2 linked regions of the Caenorhabditis elegans genome follow. The protein of the gene in region 2 purifies or fractionates together with the protein of the main gene of each other region. This does not show direct contact. Each region holds a gene or a part of one and is shown on either strand. Other genes may lie near its edges.

What was found.
Region 1: the proteins of pde-12 (region 2) and cyp-13A8 fractionate together in Caenorhabditis elegans (co-fractionation; one large-scale study listed by BioGRID). This does not show direct contact.

The regions. Positions count from the first base shown.
Region 1 is NC_003280.10:9,802,838-9,813,129, forward strand, and holds cyp-13A8 (Putative cytochrome P450 CYP13A8), read right to left. Parts: upstream 4,733-10,292; 5' UTR 4,696-4,732; coding exon 4,340-4,695; intron 4,274-4,339; coding exon 4,127-4,273; intron 4,077-4,126; coding exon 3,977-4,076; intron 3,910-3,976; coding exon 3,613-3,909; intron 3,564-3,612; coding exon 3,307-3,563; intron 3,260-3,306; coding exon 3,116-3,259; intron 3,019-3,115; coding exon 2,790-3,018; 3' UTR 2,763-2,789; downstream 1-2,762. Other genes in the region: cyp-13A7 (Putative cytochrome P450 CYP13A7), read left to right, coding at 783-968, 1,024-1,355, 1,410-1,509, 1,557-2,113, 2,184-2,327, 2,373-2,610. UniProt on the Caenorhabditis elegans protein: Cytochromes P450 are a group of heme-thiolate monooxygenases. They oxidize a variety of structurally unrelated compounds, including steroids, fatty acids, and xenobiotics.
Region 2 is NC_003281.10:10,840,940-10,851,231, forward strand, and holds the start of pde-12 (Endonuclease/exonuclease/phosphatase domain-containing protein), read right to left. Parts: upstream 4,082-10,292; 5' UTR 3,973-4,081; coding exon 3,886-3,972; intron 3,830-3,885; coding exon 3,614-3,829; intron 3,560-3,613; coding exon 3,048-3,559; intron 2,398-3,047; coding exon 2,296-2,397; intron 1,623-2,295; coding exon 950-1,622; intron 1-949. Other genes in the region: fbxb-85 (F-box domain-containing protein), read right to left, coding at 6,806-7,589, 7,652-7,728; hex-3 (beta-N-acetylhexosaminidase), read left to right, coding at 8,314-8,451, 9,211-9,840.

The sequences.
Region 1 (10,292 bases), on a different chromosome or scaffold from region 2:
TGTGTCGACTGTTGAGATATAGTGTACTGATAAGAGAACATAGAGAATGGGGCAAGCACTTTTTGGAAGGTATAAAAGTTGTACCAATATTCTTCAAACTTTTCACTGCTCAAATGCAAAAAACATAAAGAGGTGATGGAGAGCAGATGGTAGTTAGAAAACTTTTTAAAAAATTAAAAATGATAATGGAGTTTAAAAAAAATATCAATATGTAGAAACAATAGAAAACTAGTTTTGTTTCAGAGATTTGGTTGATCTAGAATTTTAAAATTGTTCTTCATATCTAAAATTTCTTGAAAGAAAGTTAGGGATGAAAATGAGCACTGAAGCTGATAAATCCAAAAAAAAAACTTTTTTTCGTAAGATTAAAATTTTTTGCTTTTTTTCGGCAATTAATTTTTTTAAAACGAGAATATACATAATAGGTTTAGATTCACAAGCTACAAATATGTGACTGTAATAATTATAAAACCATCAGATAGTTTTCAAAAATTGATAAAAGTTTGAAAAAACATCCTCTAAACTTTATTCGAAAATTGAGAATACATTCTAAAGTATCCAGACTACGAATTTTGAAACAAAATCTTCTTGATTGCTGGGTTTCTCCAAATCATACGATTCTTGTCACCCACTTTCTTGTTCTATTAAACACAAACCATAATGTTTTGTGCGACAAGAAGATAAGACTAAAAACTAACTTAACAGATGATCGACAAAAAAGTATATAAATAATGCCACATATTACACAATTTAATTTAATTTAATTTTTTTTGAAACTAGACATGAGTTTCAGTATACTCATAGCTATTGCAATATTTGTTGGAATAATTTCCTATTATTTATGGATTTGGTCATTCTGGATTCGAAAAGGAGTCAAAGGGCCTAGAGGTCTACCATTTCTCGGAGTTATTCACAAGTTCACAAACTATGAGAACCCTGGAGCTTTGAAGTTCAGCGAATGGACAAAGGTAGAATGAATTTATTTATTTTACATTAATCATTAAGTAATGTTTAATATTTCAGAAATACGGACCTGTTTATGGAATTACGGAAGGTGTTGAAAAGACGTTGGTAATTTCGGATCCAGAATTTGTACATGAAGTTTTTGTAAAACAATTTGATAATTTCTACGGGAGAAAATTAACTGCAATTCAAGGAGATCCAAATAAAAACAAGAGAGTACCACTTGTTGCTGCTCAAGGCCATAGATGGAAGCGATTGAGAACTTTAGCTTCTCCTACTTTTTCGAATAAAAGTCTAAGAAAGATTATGGGTACTGTAGAAGAAAGTGTTACGGAGTTGGTCAGATCATTAGAGAAAGCAAGTGCGGAAGGAAAAACTCTTGACATGCTAGAGTATGTTTCAAAATAAAAAGTTTGGAACTGTTTAGACAATTAACTTTTTTAAAGATATTACCAAGAATTCACAATGGATATTATTGGAAAAATGGCAATGGGACAAGAAAAATCCTTAATGTTTAGAAACCCAATGCTAGATAAAGTCAAAACGGTTTGTGGAATGACTTGATTTTAAATAATTTATTTCAAATTTTTCAGATTTTCAAAGAAGGACGAAACAATGTTTTTATGATCTCTGGAATATTTCCTTTCGTTGGAATTGCTCTACGCAACATTTTTGCCAAATTTCCATCACTTCAAATGGCTACCGATATTCAAAGTATTTTGGAGAAGGCTTTGAACAAACGACTGGAACAAAGGGAAGCTGATGAGAAGGCTGGAATTGAGCCATCTGGGGAGCCTCAAGATTTCATCGATTTGTTTTTAGATGCTAGATCAACTGTAGACTTTTTCGAAGGCGAAGCTGAACAAGATTTTGCTAAAAGTGAAGTCTTGAAAGTGGATAAGCATCTGACATTTGATGAGATTATTGGACAACTGTTTGTTTTCTTGTTAGCTGGATACGACACGACTGCCCTTTCTCTGTCATATTCTTCATATCTCCTGGCAACACATCCAGAGATTCAGAAGAAATTACAAGAAGAAGTGGATAGAGAATGTCCAGACCCTGAAGTCACTTTTGATCAGCTGTCGAAATTGAAATATTTGGAATGTGTTGTGAAAGAAGCATTGAGATTGTATCCATTGGCGTCTCTGTTAGTTTTTTTTTAATTTCTAAGTTTTGCCGTGGTGTAGTTTGTTCTCTGTAATTAAAAAATAATTCAGTGTTCACAATCGAAAATGTCTCAAAACCACAAATGTTCTGGGAATGGAAATAGAAGCTGGAACAAATATTAATGTGGATACCTGGTCTCTTCACCATGATCCGAAAGTTTGGGGAGATGATGTTAACGAGTTCAAGCCGGAAAGGTTGGTTTTATTTGACAATTATTTATTTCATCAAATGTTCTACAGATGGGAGTCCGGGGATGAACTATTCTTTGCTAAAGGCGGATATCTTCCGTTCGGCATGGGACCAAGAATTTGTATTGGTATGCGATTGGCTATGATGGAAATGAAAATGCTTTTGACCAATATTTTGAAAAACTATACATTTGAAACCACACCAGAAACTGTGATTCCATTGAAGTTAGTCGGAACTGCTACTATTGCGCCATCAAGTGTGCTGCTCAAACTTAAATCCAGGTTTTGAAATGTGTTTTGTACGGATTGTTGTCTTTGTTTATATATTTACCCAATAAATTTGTATGTTCACGTATTTAAAAGCACAAACTTCTATGTCAGTTACTTAAAAAATTAAATTTAAAGCTATTTGTATTAAGTTGAAGAAAGTTAAAACAACATGGAGGGATTAGGAAAGGTATATTATAATCAAACTCTCGGCTTCAATGACAAGAACAAGTTTTCAGGCCTTGCAGTTGCTCGGCCTACTAATTTAATCGGAAGCTGTGTCTTCGCATTTGTCTCGAAAGTATATTTTTTGAGTATATGTGACAATAATCCTTTCTGCTCCAAAAGTGCAAACCGCATTCCGAGACATACTCTGGGTCCAGCACCAAATGAGAGGTATGCTTGTTGAGGAGTTAATGGAGAGTCCCATCTAAAAATATTTTTAAATTACTTTTTCATAGAATCTTGATAGACGTCACTACGCTCTTGAAAAATCTTTCTTAAAGTACGCATCGAAAATATCTTACCTTTCAGGCTTGAACTCTTCTACGTCATTTCCCCATACATTTTTGTCATGGTGAAGAGTCCAGGTGTCGATCATCACATCAACACCAGCTTCTACAATTTGCTCTCCGATAACCGTATTTCTCATGCATCGGCGGGAGTTTGCACTGAAAGTAAAATATATTTAATTTGTAAGTAAACATTGGAAACTCACAAAGAAGCAAATGGGAACAATCTTAATGACTCCTTGATCACATTATCCATATATTTCAATTTTGAAAGCTGATCAAATGTGATCTCATCATTTGGACATTCTTTGTCTACTTCGTCTTGTAACTTGCTCTGAATTTTTGGATTCAATGCCAAGAAGTATGTAACATAGGAAAGGGAAATGGCTGTAGTATCAAATCCAGCAACTAAAAATACAAAGCACTGGCTAATGATTTCTTGAGTGGTCAGTTGTCGGTTATTCTGAAATTGAAGGAATTTATAAAAATCACTATGTTAATTTCAAGCTTACATAGGAGGATGATTTATGGAATTCGTCATTGCTTTCACCAAAATGTTCAACTTCGGCTCTTGCATTCAAAAACATATCAATATAATCAGCGGCCTCTCCTGGCTCAACTCCATGTTTCTTATCGGCTTCTCGTTGAGCAATCCGGGACATCACTGCGTCCGTTACCGATTTTTGCACGACAATAAAGGGACCAGCTCCGAACTTGCCTACTTTAATGAACAACCATTTGAGAAAAGACACAGCAAATGGAAATCCTCCACTGAACATCCAGATCTGCCAGCGGTTGTGCTCGAAGAACTGTAAAAATACATTTTTGTTAAACTTTTAAAATTAAAAATCAATCCAACAAAGGAGATGAACCTACCCCTTTAACATCCTTTAATAATGGATTTTTAAACATTTGGGAGTCGGGTTGTCCCATGGCAACTCTGGAGATCACGTCAAAGGTGTACTCCTGGTAGAAACTAAAATTTAACAGTAAAACACCTTAATTAGACCGCTATGAACAACTTACAGATGCATATTGACTGCTTTTCCATTCTCTGATTCTTCTCTTAATTTTTTCATAAGCTCCTGTGTGCTATCTTCCATTGTAGTCAATACTTTTTTGATACTGCCATTTGAAAATGCAGGTGCCGTGATTGTTCGGAGACGTTTCCATCTGAAAGTTATCAATTAAAATATGCGAGTGGCAGGCAAGCCAGCACGTCTGAAGTGGTCTCCTTACCTAAAACCTTGAGCTCCAACAATATGAATATCCTTATCCTTATCTGGATCTCCTTGAACTGGATTATGCTTTCTTCCATAAAAATTATCGTACTGTTTCACAAGGATTTCCTGAACCAAATCAGGATCTGAAATCACCATGACTTTCTGCATTCCTTCAGTGAATCCATAAATTTTTCCATATTCCTTTGTCCATTTTTGAAGAGTGTAACCCGGTGGGAAACTATCCTCCAGCATAGCTCCAGCTTTTCCGAAAATCGGAACTCCCCAAGGGCCTGGCAATCCACGTCGCTTCCAGAAAGTCCAATGCCAGAAATAGTAGGTAACAATTGAAATTAGGATGAGCTCGAAAATCATTTTTCAGACGTTGAAAATGCTGAATTTATAAAGCTTCCAATTCTCAAAAAATGAGATATCCACCATAATTTTCTTTCATTTTTATATCTGCCCGAACAGTCACAAACCAAATTTTTGACACAGAAAATGTATAACTACTATCCCTTTTTAACTTTTCCCTCTCTCCACAAACACATACTATCAAGCCATGAGTGATGCAAAGTTTTGACGATAAGAAAGTTTCGAAACAACTGATTATTGTGATAGAAAAATATGATTTGTCGCGTGTGATTTGAGCATGATCAAGTTCAAAATAGGTGGACAGATAACTAGAGTGTTATTATTGGCCTACAGTAAATAAAGTTTCTAAATTAAAGTTTGGTTACTGTAGCGGTATTTTCCATTCACGTTTCAAAAATTGTCTAATCTCCATAATTCTCAGTTTAAAAAAATTTGAAAACCAGTGCACAATTCAAACTCCATATTCTCAATAATTCTCAGTTTAAAAAAAATTGAAAACCAGTGCACAATTGAAACTCCATTATTTCCATGATTCTCAGTTTAAAAAAATTTGAAAACCTGTGCACAATTGAAACTCCATATTCTCAATAATTCTCAGTTTAAAAAAAATTTGAAAACCAGTGCACAATTGAAACTCCATTATTTCCATGATTCTCAGTTTAAAAAAATTTGAAAACCAGTGCACAATTGAAACTCCATTATTTCCATGATTGTCAGTTTAAAATAATTTGAAAACCTGTGCACAATTGAAACTCCATATTCTCAATAATTCTCAGTTTAAAAAAAATTTGAAAACCAGTGCACAATTGAAACTCCATTATTTCCATGATTCTCAGTTTAAAAAAAATTTGAAAACCAGTGCACAATTGAAACTCCATATTCTCAATAATTCTCAGTTTAAAAAAAATTTGAAAACCAGTGCACAATTGAAACTCCATATTCTCAATAATTCTCAGTTTAAAAAATTTGAAAACCAGTGCACAATTGAAACTCCATTATTTCCATGATTCTCAGTTTAAAACAATTTGAAAACCAGTGCACAATTGAAACTCCATTATTTCCATGATTCTCAGTTTAAAACAATTTGAAAACCAGTGCACAATTGAAACTCCATTATTTCCATGATTCTCAGTTTAAAACAATTTGAAAACCAGTGCACAATTGAAACTCCATTATTTCCATGATTCTCAGTTTAAAACAATTTGAAAACCAGTGCACAATTGAAACTCCATTATTTCCATGATTCTCAGTTTGAAAAAATTTGAAAACCAGTGCACAATTGAAACTCCATATTCTCAATAATTCTCAGTTTAAAAAAAATTTGAAAACCAGTGCACAATTGAAACTCCATATTCTCAATAATTCTCAGTTTAAAAAAAATTTGAAAACCAGTGCACAATTGAAACTCCATATTCTCAATAATTCTCAGTTTAAAAAATTTGAAAACCAGTGCACAATTGAAACTCCATTATTTCCATGATTCTCAGTTTAAAAAAATTTGAAAACCAGTGCACAATTGAAACTCCATATTCTCAATAATTCTCAGTTTAAAAAAATTTGAAAACCAGTGCACAATTGAAACTCCATATTCTCAATAATTCTCAGTTTAAAAAAAATTTGAAAACCAGTGCACAATTGAAACTCCATTATTTCCATGATTGTCAGTTTAAAATAATTTGAAAACCAGTGCACAATTGAAACTCCATATTCTCAATAATTCTCAGTTTAAAAAATTTGAAAACCAGTGCACAATTGAAACTCCATTATTTCCATGATTGTCAGTTTAAAATAATTTGAAAACCAGTGCACAATTGAAACTCCATATTCTCAATAATTCTCAGTTTAAAACAATTTGAAAACCAGTGCACAATTGAAACTCCATTATTTCCATGATTCTCAGTTTAAAACAATTTGAAAACCAGTGCACAATTGAAACTCCATATTCTCAATAATTCTCAGTTTAAAAAAAATTTGAAAACCAGTGCACAATTGAAACTCCATTATTTCCATGATTCTCAGTTTGAAAAAATTTGAAAACCAGTGCACAATTGAAACTCCATATTCTCAATAATTCTCAGTTTAAAAAAAATTTGAAAACCAGTGCACAATTGAAACTCCATATTCTCAATAATTCTCAGTTTAAAAAAAATTTGAAAACCAGTGCACAATTGAAACTCCATATTCTCAATAATTCTCAGTTTAAAAAATTTGAAAACCAGTGCACAATTGAAACTCCATTATTTCCATGATTCTCAGTTTAAAAAAATTTGAAAACCAGTGCACAATTGAAACTCCATATTCTCAATAATTCTCAGTTTAAAAAAATTTGAAAACCAGTGCACAATTGAAACTCCATATTCTCAATAATTCTCAGTTTAAAAAAAATTTGAAAACCAGTGCACAATTGAAACTCCATTATTTCCATGATTCTCAGTTTAAAAAAATTTGAAAACCAGTGCACAATTGAAACTCCATTATTTCCATGATTCTCAGTTTAAAAAAATTTGAAAACCAGTGCACAATTGAAACTCCATTATTTCCATGATTCTCAGTTTAAAAAAAATTTGAAAACCAGTGCACAATTGAAATTCCATATTCTCAATAATTCTCAGTTTAAAAAAAATTTGAAAACCAGTGCACAATTGAAACTCCATATTCTCAATAATTCTCAGTTTAAAAAAAATTTGAAAACCAGTGCACAATTGAAATTCCATATTCTCAATAATTCTCAGTTTAAAAAAAATTTGAAAACCAGTGCACAATTGAAACTCCATATTCTCAATAATTCTCAGTTTAAAAAAAATTTGAAAACCAGTGCACAATTGAAATTCCATATTCTCAATAATTCTCAGTTTAAAAAATTTGAAAACCAGTGCACAATTGAAACTCCATATTCTCAATAATTCTCAGTTTAAAAAAAATTTGAAAACCAGTGCACAATTGAAACTCCATATTCTCAATAATTCTCAGTTTAAAAAATTTGAAAACCAGTGCACAATTGAAACTCCATATTCTCAATAATTCTCAGTTTAAAAAATTTGAAAACCAGTGCACAATTGAAACTCCATTATTTCCATGATTGTCAGTTTAAAACAATTTGAAAACCAGTGCACAATTGAAACTCCATATTCTCAATAATTCTCAGTTTAAAAAAAATTTGAAAACCAGTGCACAATTGAAATTCCATATTCTCAATAATTCTCAGTTTAAAAAATTTGAAAACCAGTGCACAATTGAAACTCCATATTCTCAATAATTCTCAGTTTAAAAAAAATTTGAAAACCAGTGCACAATTGAAACTCCATATTCTCAATAATTCTCAGTTTAAAAAATTTGAAAACCAGTGCACAATTGAAACTCCATTATTTCCATGATTGTCAGTTTAAAATAATTTGAAAACCAGTGCACAATTGAAACTCCATATTCTCAATAATTCTCAGTTTAAAACAATTTGAAAACCAGTGCACAATTGAAACTCCATTATTTCCATGATTCTCAGTTTAAAACAATTTGAAAACCAGTGCACAATTGAAACTCCATTATTTCCATGATTGTCAGTTTAAAATAATTTGAAAACCAGTGCACAATTGAAACTCCATATTCTCAATAATTCTCAGTTTAAAAAATTTGAAAACCAGTGCACAATTGAAACTCCATATTCTCAATAATTCTCAGTTTAAAAAAAATTTGAAAACCAGTGCACAATTGAAACTCCATATTCTCAATAATTCTCAGTTTAAAAAATTTGAAAACCAGTGCACAATTGAAACTCCATATTCTCAATAATTCTCAGTTTAAAAAATTTGAAAACCAGTGCACAATTGAAACTCCATTATTTCCATGATTGTCAGTTTAAAATAATTTGAAAACCAGTGCACAATTGAAACTCCATATTCTCAATAATTCTCAGTTTAAAAAATTTGAAAACCAGTGCACAATTGAAACTCCATATTCTCAATAATTCTCAGTTTAAAACAATTTGAAAACCAGTGCACAATTGAAACTCCATTATTTCCATGATTCTCAGTTTAAAACAATTTGAAAACCAGTGCACAATTGAAACTCCATATTCTCAATAATTCTCAGTTTAAAAAATTTGAAAACCAGTGCACAATTGAAACTCCATTATTTCCATGATTCTCAGTTTGAAAAAATTTGAAAACCAGTGCACAATTGAAACTCCATATTCTCAATAATTCTCAGTTTAAAAAATTTGAAAACCAGTGCACAATTGAAACTCCATATTCTCAATAATTCTCAGTTTAAAACAATTTGAAAACCAGTGCACAATTGAAACTCCATTATTTCCATGATTCTCAGTTTAAAACAATTTGAAAACCAGTGCACAATTGAAACTCCATTATTTCCATGATTCTCAGTTTGAAAAAATTTGAAAACCAGTGCACAATTGAAACTCCATATTCTCAATAATTCTCAGTTTAAAAAATTTGAAAACCAGTGCACAATTGAAACTCCATATTCTCAATAATTCTCAGTTTAAAACAATTTGAAAACCAGTGCACAATTGAAACTCCATATTCTCAATAATTCTCAGTTTAAAAAATTTGAAAACCAGTGCACAATTGAAACTCCATTATTTCCATGATTGTCAGTTTAAAATAATTTGAAAACCAGTGCACAATTGAAACTCCATATTCTCAATAATTCTCAGTTTAAAAAATTTGAAAACCAGTGCACAATTGAAACTCCATATTCTCAATAATTCTCAGTTTAAAAAAAATTTGAAAACCAGTGCACCATTGACACTCCATATTCTCAATAATTCTCAGTTTAATAAATATGAAAACTAGTGCACAATTGAAACTCGATATTCTCTATAACTCTCAGTTTACAAAATTTGAAATCCAGTGCACAATTGAAACTCCATTATTTCCATGATTGTCAGTTTAAGATAATGAGAACACCAGTGCACAATTGAAACTCCATTATTTCCATGATTCTCAGTTTGAAAAAATTTGAAGACCAGTGCACAATTGAAACTCCATATTCTCAATAATTCTCAGTTTAAAAAAAATTTGAAAACCAGTGCACAATTGAAACTCCATATTCTCAATAATTCTCAGTTTAAAAAAAATTTGAAAACCAGTGCACAATTGAAACTCCATTATTTCCATGATTCTCAGTTTGAAAAAAATTTGAAAACCAGTGCACAATTGAAACTCCATATTCTCAATAATTCTCAGTTTAAAAAAAATTTGAAAACCAGTGCACAATTGAAACTCCATATTCTCAATAATTCTCAGTTTAAAAAATTTGAAAACCAGTGCACAATTGAAACTCCATATTCTCAATAATTCTCAGTTTAAAAAATTTGAAAACCAGTGCACAATTGAAACTCCATTATTTCCATGATTGTCAGTTTAAAATAATTTGAAAACCAGTGCACAATTGAAACTCCATATTCTCAATAATTCTCAGTTTAAAAAATTTGAAAACCAGTGCACAATTGAAACTCCATATTCTCAATAATTCTCAGTTTAAAACAATTTGAAAACCAGTGCACAATTGAAACTCCATTATTTCCATGATTCTCAGTTTAAAACAATTTGAAAACCAGTGCACAATTGAAACTCCAT
Region 2 (10,292 bases):
AAAAAAAAACACTTTTTTAAAAAACTTTTTTTTAGTAATTGCAATAATTATTTTGACAGAAAATTTTGGATTTATTCTTGGAAAAAATTGGTTTCATTTTGAAAATTAAGAGAAAAAAAATTTCAACTGAAATTCAAAAATTGCTCTTTTTTCGACGATTAAAAAAATTAAAAAAATTAAACTTTGATTTAGAATTTTTTTTTTGGAATTTTAATAATTTACAAATTTCGAATTTTCATTTTTTTCGGAGAAATTAGCATTTTTTTTGTGGAAATACATATTTATTATTATTTTCTAAATATATGAAAAAAATCGAAAAAACAATTTTTTTATTAAAATCTTTGGAAAATGGAAATTATCAAAATTCCAGAAATTTATCGTTTTTTTTTTTGAAAAAATTTAGAAAAAGTAAATTTTCAAAAATATTTAAAAATTCATTTTTTTTTTTTTGAATTTTTCGATTTATCACCTATTTTTTTTTTAAATCTGAAATTTTCAAATTTAAAGCGGTAATTTTGGAATTTTTGTTTGAAAAACTAAAAATTTTTTTTACCAAATTTTGGTGTTTTTTTTGGAAATTCAAAACTTTAAAAATATTGAATTTTCATTCACTTTTTGCTGAAAAACTCTGGAAATTATTCAAAATTCCAGAAGTTTGTCGATTTTTTACAAAAATTCTGAAAAACTTTTTGGAATACACATTTTATTTTTGTGATTAGTATTTTTGAAAATAATAAAAAATTCGATTTTTTGTAAATATTTATTTTTCACCTATTTTTTAAAGAACATCTGAAATTTTCAAATAAAAAAAAACAACCGCTCTAGTTTTTTAGCGATAATTTTGGAATTTTTGTTTGAAAAATTTAACTTTTTTTGGAAACTTGGAAACACTAGAATAATTTTTTATTTATTTTTTCAATTTCCTTGAAATCAAAAAAAATATATTCACCATGCTCATCAAATTAAACACAGCTCCATTGGGTGTACTATTGAAATCTCCTCCAAATAAGACAAGAACCTCAATTCCTTTATTCAATTCTCTAGTTTCCTCGTAAATTTCCAAAAGTTTCCGTGTACAAGTCAATGCTTGTAGCACTTTCACGTGTTCATCTATAGGATTATGGTGTAAATGTGTATTGCCGCAGACTAGAAGTTTCCCGGTTCTGGAATCTTTTAGAACCACAATTTGCAAAACTGTGGGACGAGTTGAAAATCGTTCTTTCGATTCTTCTGATGTCTCAAGGATCCCTAGAATATCTCCACTAGCTAGCTCGGCAACTCCGTAACACTTTGAAGAGATCACTTGAAACCTCTGACTATCGAAAATAATAGCAACTCCTTCGGAAACTGTTCCAACTTTTTTCGCGATTTCACTAGAATAACTGATCGTATTTAAAAATGGCACAATGAAATTCTCATGACGACTGAGATCAACTTCTTGAAGGAATATCAGAGAGCACCGGGCACTATGAATGAAATCATGCAGCTGTTTCAGGAATATTGGTGTTCGGTAGATAATTCGTTGGCTCGATTTTTGGCAATAATTGAAGAATAGTTGTTCTTGTGGGAGTGTGAGGTTTAGGTAGAGGTCAGCCAGAATGTTATACGACATTATTCGAATTCTGTAATAATTTGGAATTTTTTAAAAAGAATTCTATTTAAATTCTAAAATAAAATAATCGTTTCTTTTTTCGAATTTTTTTGTGTATTACGATTTTGAAATGTTTTTTAATTGTTCTAGATTTTCACATGTTTTTTTTTAGAAAATCTGAAATTTTCCATTTTTTTAAACAAACGCTTTAGTTTTTAGCGATTACGAGAAGCGATCGGTAATTTTGGATTTGTTTTTATTGAAAATTTTAACTTTTTGAAAAAAAAATTAAACTTTAAATTTTTAATTTTAGAAATCGTTTTTTTTTTTGGAAAAAAGGTTTTTTTAATTTCAATTTTTGGTTTGTCCCTAATTTTTAAGAAACTTTAAAAAAAAAACTAAAATACAGTTAAAATTCAGAAAAGAACTCCGCCCACGTCGTCTGATTGGTTGAAAAAAAGGCGGAGCAAATCGCTGAGTGGTCCTGCAGTGTTTCTACAGAAATTTAAAAAAATCGCAAAAAACTTGTTTTTTGCTCCAAAACCGAAAATTATTCTAGGAAGAATTAAAAAAAAAGGCTTTCAGTTTTTTTAATATAAAAATCGAAATTTTTTTTTATTTTTGTATTTTTTTTCACTTTTTTCATGAATGAAATCTTTTTTTTTTGTGTAAATTTTTGGATAATTCAGAAAATTAAAACGAACGTCGAATCATCTTCCAATGAGATTTCCTCGCACCATTTGACCTGCTCGTCAGTAATAACCTCATCGTGGAGCTGGGAAATCGGTCTCGAACTTATTGCAGCGCTGAATAATTTCTTTTATATATTTAAAATGTTTTTTTTTTTCATTTTTTGTTTTTCATAAAACTTAAAATCAACTTCAAAATTTTTTCGATTTTTTAAATTTTAATTTCAAAGAAGTGTTTTGGTTTTTCAAAAATTGGCAATTTTTCTCATTAAAATTAGTATTCTTTTTTATTTAATCTCTAGAAAATCACAAAACGTTTTGTAGTTTAATTGATTTTTGAAAATTATTTTTCTAAAAGATATTTTTTATTATAATTTCCCTAGCTTTCGAGAAAAATTTTCTTTTTTTTCATAATTTTTTAAATTTTTACTTTTTCTCATTAAAATTGGCTCTTTTTATCTGATAATTCAACATTTAATATTTTTGATTTCAAAAAAAAAAACCCAGAGCTTAAAAAAAAATGTTCAATATTTATTATTGAAATTGGAATTTTCTTTGACAAATTAATGGTGAATTTTGGTTTTTTTTTTCGAATTTTATTTTCCGAAAACGAAAATTATTCTATATCGGATATTAATTATTTATTATTTCTGAATTTTTTAAAGGATATTTTTTTTCTTAGTTTTTCAACAAAATTTTTTTTGTGTTAAGAGACATATTTTTCTACAATTTTATAGCTAATTTTAAGCATTTCGCCGCCTCCTTACTAGGCTGGATGATCTTTTCCAGACTCCACAACGACTGCGACCAGCCGGCTAACATCCTTCTCATCAGGCTGGAAATATGGCCCAGAATGCCTAAAACTGTATCCATGCAGCTTAAAAGTTCGAGCTGCCTCGTCCTCGAACGCCAGTTTCAGAGAATCGTTATCCTTCTGAGTTGGACCTAATTTTTCCGATTTTCCAGTCTCTTTTTGATCCTTGACGAACCAATGTAGCTGTACACGAGTTCCTTTGATATTGTAGGCAATTGTAGGCATACAGAATTGGCCGACGATCGGTGTAAGAGTAATTGATACTGTAGAAATTGGAATTCCGTTGCGAATTACTTCAAATTCGGAGCCATTAACCAATAATTTTGAGATCCTTTTATCATCAGCAAATTCTAGAGTCGTTTTTAAATTTATATCCTTGAAATTTTCAAATTCCGCGGCTAATTGCATCGAAATATCCTCCTCAGAAGCCTCGGTCCTTGACTTTTTCCTCATTAGCGCTGAAATCTGGAATAATTTGCTTCATTTTTAAATTTAAATAATTTGATAGATTTCCCTCACCTTGGGCAAAGCTTCATCTACCAGCTTCTGCTCAAAAGCTCGCTGAGTCTTTATCACAAAATGCTCCTCTCCGTGATTAAACTGGAACATAAAATTCAATCCGGTTTGGATTTTCTTTTTTTGCACTGGCGCCTCGGTTTTCCAGAGAAAGATTCGATTTGACGGCAGTAACATTGTTCGTCTTCTTTTTAAAGGTGTGATCAAAGCTTGTTCGTCCTGAAAATAAATAAATAAACAACTTTTTGAATAGAAAGCAAATTTTTAAAATTTACCTTTAGAATATCCTTCCAAGAAAGCGGTTGTTGGGGAGCTTTTCGGATGAATACTGACTTAAAGAAGTCTGTTAGATGTTTTAACATGTGAATTTAACAAAAATCTCATGAATAAGGCGGAGTTTGACACAAAAAAATCTCGGTTTTGAAATAAATCACAATATTGTTGCTTGTCCGAGAGGAGTACGCAGGAAAGGCACGGAGTATGCGCCAGCAGACGTTACTTGGCGCATCAAGAAACGCGCAAGCATAATATTCAAAATGGCATTATTTATAATATTTCCGGCAAAATTCAACATTGAATTTTTAATGGTGCGTCCATAGTCTGCGGAAAACGGGAAATTCCAGCCTGCGGAAGCGTCCATAGTCTGCGGAAAAAAACAAGGAGTTTCTCGCTTTGTTATTGGTCAATTTCAAAATAGTGGGCGTGTTCAACCAATTAGGGGCTGTAAAATTTTAAGCTGAGCAATGGGAAAACAAGAAGCAACAGCTGATTGGTTGGCCACGCCTACTTTTTTGAATTTTGAGGAAAAAAAGAGAGGAACTCCGGTTTTTCCGCAGACTATGGACGCTTCCGCACGCGGGAAATTCCCGTTTTCCGCAGACTATGGACGCACCCTAAGACATTTCACTTTTTTACTGTAAATAATGTATGTATTATTTACAGTAAAAAAGTGGAAATTACTGCCACTTTTTTAGAAAGTTATATTTCTCCCGCATTTTCAACGAATTAATTGTTCTTTACACCCCTATTGCCAAACCACTTCGTCCGAAATCCACCTCTCACAAATCCATTTACAGGCTTGCGCGTCGCGCGTGCTCGAATACCATATCAGTCAGAAGAAAAATGCGTAAAGAGCTCAAATCTATCAAACGAAGACTTGCTCATGAGGAAGACCAAGCCATTCACGCCACTGACTCCCGCAGTGTATTTCAGCTTGTAAAAAAAAGAATCACCCCCCGACCTCAACCTATCAATCTTGACATCAATAATGAAACAGTGTCTGACCCAGTGCGCATTGCAGATGAGTTTATTCATAACTTTGCTCTGTCATTCACAGCGCCTTGCCCACCCTTCCCAGCTCTTCCGGCACCCAAGCCCTCTAAATTATCCCTCGATTTCTCGCCGTTCAACATCCACAGGCATATCAAAGTTCTTAAAGCCAAAATTGGGTTTTCTACCGACAATATCAATTTCTTTATCATAAAAAAGTGTAGTGATTCTCTAACCGTCCCCTTGTCCATAATCTTTTCCGAGTCATTCTCCAGCTCCTTCTTCCCGACCCCCTGGAAGACTTCCATCATTGTCCCATTACACAAAAAAGGGTCCACAACTAATCCGGGTAACTATCGCCCGATTACACTTACTCATCCATTGTCTAGACTATTTGAACGAGTTGTACTTGATGCTCTCAAGCAGAAATTATCTCCACTCCTCTCTTCCAAACAATTCGGTTTCCTGCCTGCGCGCTCATGCACTCTGGCAGTTCTCGAATCGACGTCCAAAATTCAGAAAGTCCTCCTTGACAAGAGCAAGTATGTGGATACTATATATTTCGATTTCAAAAAAGCATTCGATAGTGTTCCCCACAACTTGCTTCTTCTCAAACTTCTGAATGTTGGGCTCGATTCAGGATGCTGTGAGTGGATCAGCTCGTTCCTCAGTAACCGTTCATCGAAAATCAAAATTGATCATTTTATCTCGGACAACTCTTTCAATGTCATGTCTGGTGTCCCCCAAGGTAGTGTAACTGGACCATTCCTCTTTCTTTTGTATATTAATGACTTATTATATTTTCTTTCTTTTGTATATTAATGACTGATTTGTTCCCCCCTGATGTCCATGTTACAGCCTTTGCCGACGATCTAAAATTACTCGGATCGGACCCCACCTCTATCCAAACAAGCATCAATATTGTCGCTGATTGGTGTAAAAAATGGCGTCTAAATCTTGCTGAGCACAAAACTGCCGTATTACATTTTGGAAAAAAGAACCCCCGTCATAAATACTTTGTAAATAGTGTTGAAATTAAACCGCGTGATTCTATCAGAGATCTCGGAATCATTGTCGATACCAAATTATCATTTGTAAATCATATTAATCAGACTTCTAATAGTGCCCTCCTTAAGTGTCGCCAAATCCTTCGTTCATTCCGCTCTAAAAGTCCCGAATTCTATTTTAAACTGTTCAATGTTTACATCCGCCCCGTACTCGAATATGCCTGCGAGCTCTTCCCGCCCAACTCCACCGAACTTGCCAAAAAACTCGAATCTCCCCTCCGGTTTTTCTCAAAGTGTGTCTTTCAAAGGTGCAATTTATCTTACTCGTCATACAGTAGTAGGCTTTCAGAATTTAATTTATTGTCTACCCACCATAGACGGGTTCTTCAAATCCTCCGAACCTTCCATAAAATTATTTCAAGCGAGTATCACTTCCCGTCCTTATCATCGTTCGTTCGAGCTTCACGCTCTACTCGTCACCCCTATCTACTTGTTGTCTGTGGTGTCCCGTCTAAATGTTTTCTACATGTTAACTTGTCGTTGTGGAATCGAATAGCAAAACGTTTCCCTCAATTGTTAACTCCAAATGCATTTGCGTCGCGCCTAGGCTCTATCCCATTTGACACCCTCTTCCCCCCAACTTGACCTCCCGGGCTATAGCTGGTCCAATTGGTCATTTTACTTATTTGTCCACACATCTTTTTTATTTACTTTTTTTCTTTATCTTCCGGTGTAGCTATTTCTTGTGACAAATAAACAATTATTAAATATTATAGCACAACCAAATGTTTTAGTATTCAACTTTTTATCACAAATACAAGCAAAACGAAGTGAACCATAACAATGAATGTGTGAATAACATTTCCAATCTGGGACCTATTTTTTAAATACCAATGAGACAAGTTGAAAATAAAAGAATCTAACTACAAACATTTAGTTTAACATATTTAGGATACCTAGGAGAATTGAATAATGTAATAGTCGCTGCAGTCCCATCCTTTCGTCGGATATTAAATACTTCAAAATCGTCCAATTTTCCATCAGTTGGTGGTTTTTGATAATCAATTCCATTCAAGGCAATTGTAGTGAACTCGTCCAAATTTGAACCGTTTTGGGCATACATAATCAAAATCTCCAGCCATTGATTTGATCCATTGATCCAGTGTTTCAAAAATAGGCAAATATCTGTTAGGGGTAATAGTGTATGCATAAGTATTTCGGAAATATTTGAAACTAGTAAGTCTTCCAATTTAATTGATTCGTCTTGCTTTATCATAATGTTTTTAAAGTTACAACAGGTGACTGCTTGAAAATCTTGAACTCTCGGGGAGAAACAGCTTAGGAGCAATTCATCAAAATTCCATGAACATCTCTTCAATAGGTTTCCGTGAAAAGTGTCCATGTAAGGAGATGTAAAGTGTAATGTTTCGATATTTAAGCTATCGAATTCTTCAATGATGGATTGGTAATCGTAACTACTAATCGTCAGTTGAGAAACTTTTTGTTGATGGAAAATGTCAAGGATATGGTCTAGAAATTTTCTTAAACCGATTTCCGACACTTTAAAGGACAAGCTTTCAAGTGTATTGAGTTGGACGTCTATGGAAATTATTGTCGACATTGTTAAAATAATGTTATTAGCTCTCAAATTCAACGATTCAACTATAGATTTAGCAAATTTTGAATTGAAAGATATGGAAACTCTGGAAAAATAAAAGTTATTAAAAGTTAGAACACAAATAAATAATTCGATTTAAATACTCACAAATAATACACATCCATTGTTTGAAATAATAAGCGTAGCGGTTTGGAAGGTAGTCGGAGAATAGGGAAACCAGCCATTTTGGTTGTAATAAGGACAACTGGACAATGGAGCAATGGACAACTTGGTGACTGATGAACGAGTATCGATTTGTTATATATATATATAACGCTGCGTTCTTTAAAACAACGCGAATATGGTGCATTGATAAATTAATTGATAAATAAATTAAACAAGTGAATTTGAGAGTTTTTTTTTTTGAAAAAAACTCCTTCTAATCTCACACAATCTTGACAAAACCACATTTTATTCACTTTAAAATCTAAAAATCAGCGCATTCAAAACTTTGATGCAAACATTAATTTTCGAAAACTATTATTCAAATATTCGCAATTTTCGCTTATCCGAGAGGAGTACGCAGTGAGGTGTGCGACAAGTGCGTCAGCAGTGGTTGCCTGGCGCATCGAGAAACGCGCAAGCCAATTTATTTTTGTTTTTTGTTTTTCTTCCCGATTCATCGGAATTTCGCGATAAATTTGATTTTTTTTGATGATTTTAACTTGAAAAATGCAAGAAAAATAGTTTTCTCCATTAAAATTACCAATAAATCCCAATAAAACCAACCATTTTCCAGGTTTTATGCCACAAGTGCAATAAACGTCGCCATGCTTCGAGGTTTTTTCGGGCGCCGCTCGCGGTCAGCATGGGTTCGGCTCATTTATTTGTGCATCGTCACAATAATCTTCCTTTTCGCCACATCACAGTTCAAATCGACGACAACTCACGCGAGATTCGTGCCAGAGGTGAGAAATCGCTGGAAAACCGATAAAACTTAGTATTCGAAGAAAAACAAGAGAAAAAATTGCAAAATTATGTACAAAACATCGAATTTTAACATAAACTCGTATTTTTTAATGTAAAAATTCAGAAAATACTTGAAATTTCGTAAAAAATCAGGGACTTTCAGAAACAAAACCAAAAAAAAAAAAAGCAAAAATAGAAATTTCGAGGTTTTTTTCCTGAATTTTTTCCCTTAAAAACCACATTTCAAACATTTTTCAGTGCTCGGATGCTCGTATCGTTGTTTTAAATGTAAAAATTTTTAAAAAAATCGGGGGAGTTTTAGAAATTTTCAGAAAAAAAATATCGGAAAATGCAAAATAAATCGTAGAAATTTCTAAAAAATTTAAATAAAAAAAGTGAAACACAGAATAAAGCAGAAATATTCAATTTTTCGGCTTTTCAGGCAAATAAAAATTAAAATTTCGAGGTTTTCATGAAAATTAATGATTATTCTTCCGATTTCTTCGGAATTTTTCACTAAAAACCAGTGATTTTGCAAATTTCGTAGTTTCGATTGCAAAAATTCAAAAAAAAAAGAAGTTTTGTTCAGAAAATGTATTGAAAACCCATAGAATACTTGAAATTCCGGCAAAAAAATTTATTTAAAAAATTAAAATACACAAAAATTGAAATTTTGAGGTTTTCCTGAAAATCAATGATTTTTTTTCCGATTTTTCCGGAATTTTTCACTGAAAACCAGTAATTTTGCAAATTTTCAGCCCTCGGATCCGCGTCTCCACCCAAATTCACCACTTCAAGCTCCAAAAGCTCAGGAGCCAGCAGCTGCAGAAACCACGAAAAAGCCGTCTCGTCAACCCCACCACACAACTGCAAAACCAAGAACTGAAAATGTAGAAATAAACGGAGAAAAATACCCGAAACTCTCTCCAGACGGAAATCTCATTCCACAACGTCGAATTGTTCATTTGGATTTGAAAGGAGCACCCTATAAACCAGAATTTTTCACTGAACTCTTCGCATTTTTCAATAGAATTCAAGCGACAGGAATTCTTCTCGAATGGGAAGATATGTTCCCATTTAAAGGCCGGCTCCGCGGAGCAATCAATAAAAATGCCTATTCTATGGAGACCGTTGAGCACATTCTACAAGAAGCCCAAAAGCATCATTTACAAATTATCCCACTTGTTCAGACAATGGGACACTTGGAATGGATACTGAAACTTGAAGAATTTGCTCATTTGAGAGAGGATACACGATTCCCTCAAGTTATATGCTTTTCCGATGAAAATGCGTGGGAATTGATTAAAGAAATGATTGAGGAAGTTGCAAATGTGCATAAAAAATATGGAATGAGCTATTTTCATATTGGAGCCGATGAGGCTTTTCAGGTAGGGAGAGAAAGGAAAATTTGATTTTTTAAAAATTTTATTTTTCGTCAAAAGGAGTTAGATTTCCAAAAAAATATTGATAAAATCTAAATTTTCGCCGAAAAAAACTTGAAAAACTTTTCGATTTTTACAGAAAAAAACTGAAAAATCTAAAATTCGCATATTAATTTCTTCTAAAATAAGAAAAAATAACCAAAAAAAAAAACAAAAAAATTTGCTTTTATGAAAAATCGAAAACCTTTTTTTAAATAATAATATTGTTTAATTTATCATGAATTAAATATAAAAATGCTGTTTTAAAAGGCTTAAAATGGGAGAAAATAACATTTTTCACAAAATTAAAATTTAAATCTTTAAACAAAAAAATATAGATAAAATCTGAATTTTCCCCAAAAAAATTGGAAAATATTTTCGAAAAATCAAAAAATCGCAAGAAACACATTAAAAAAATT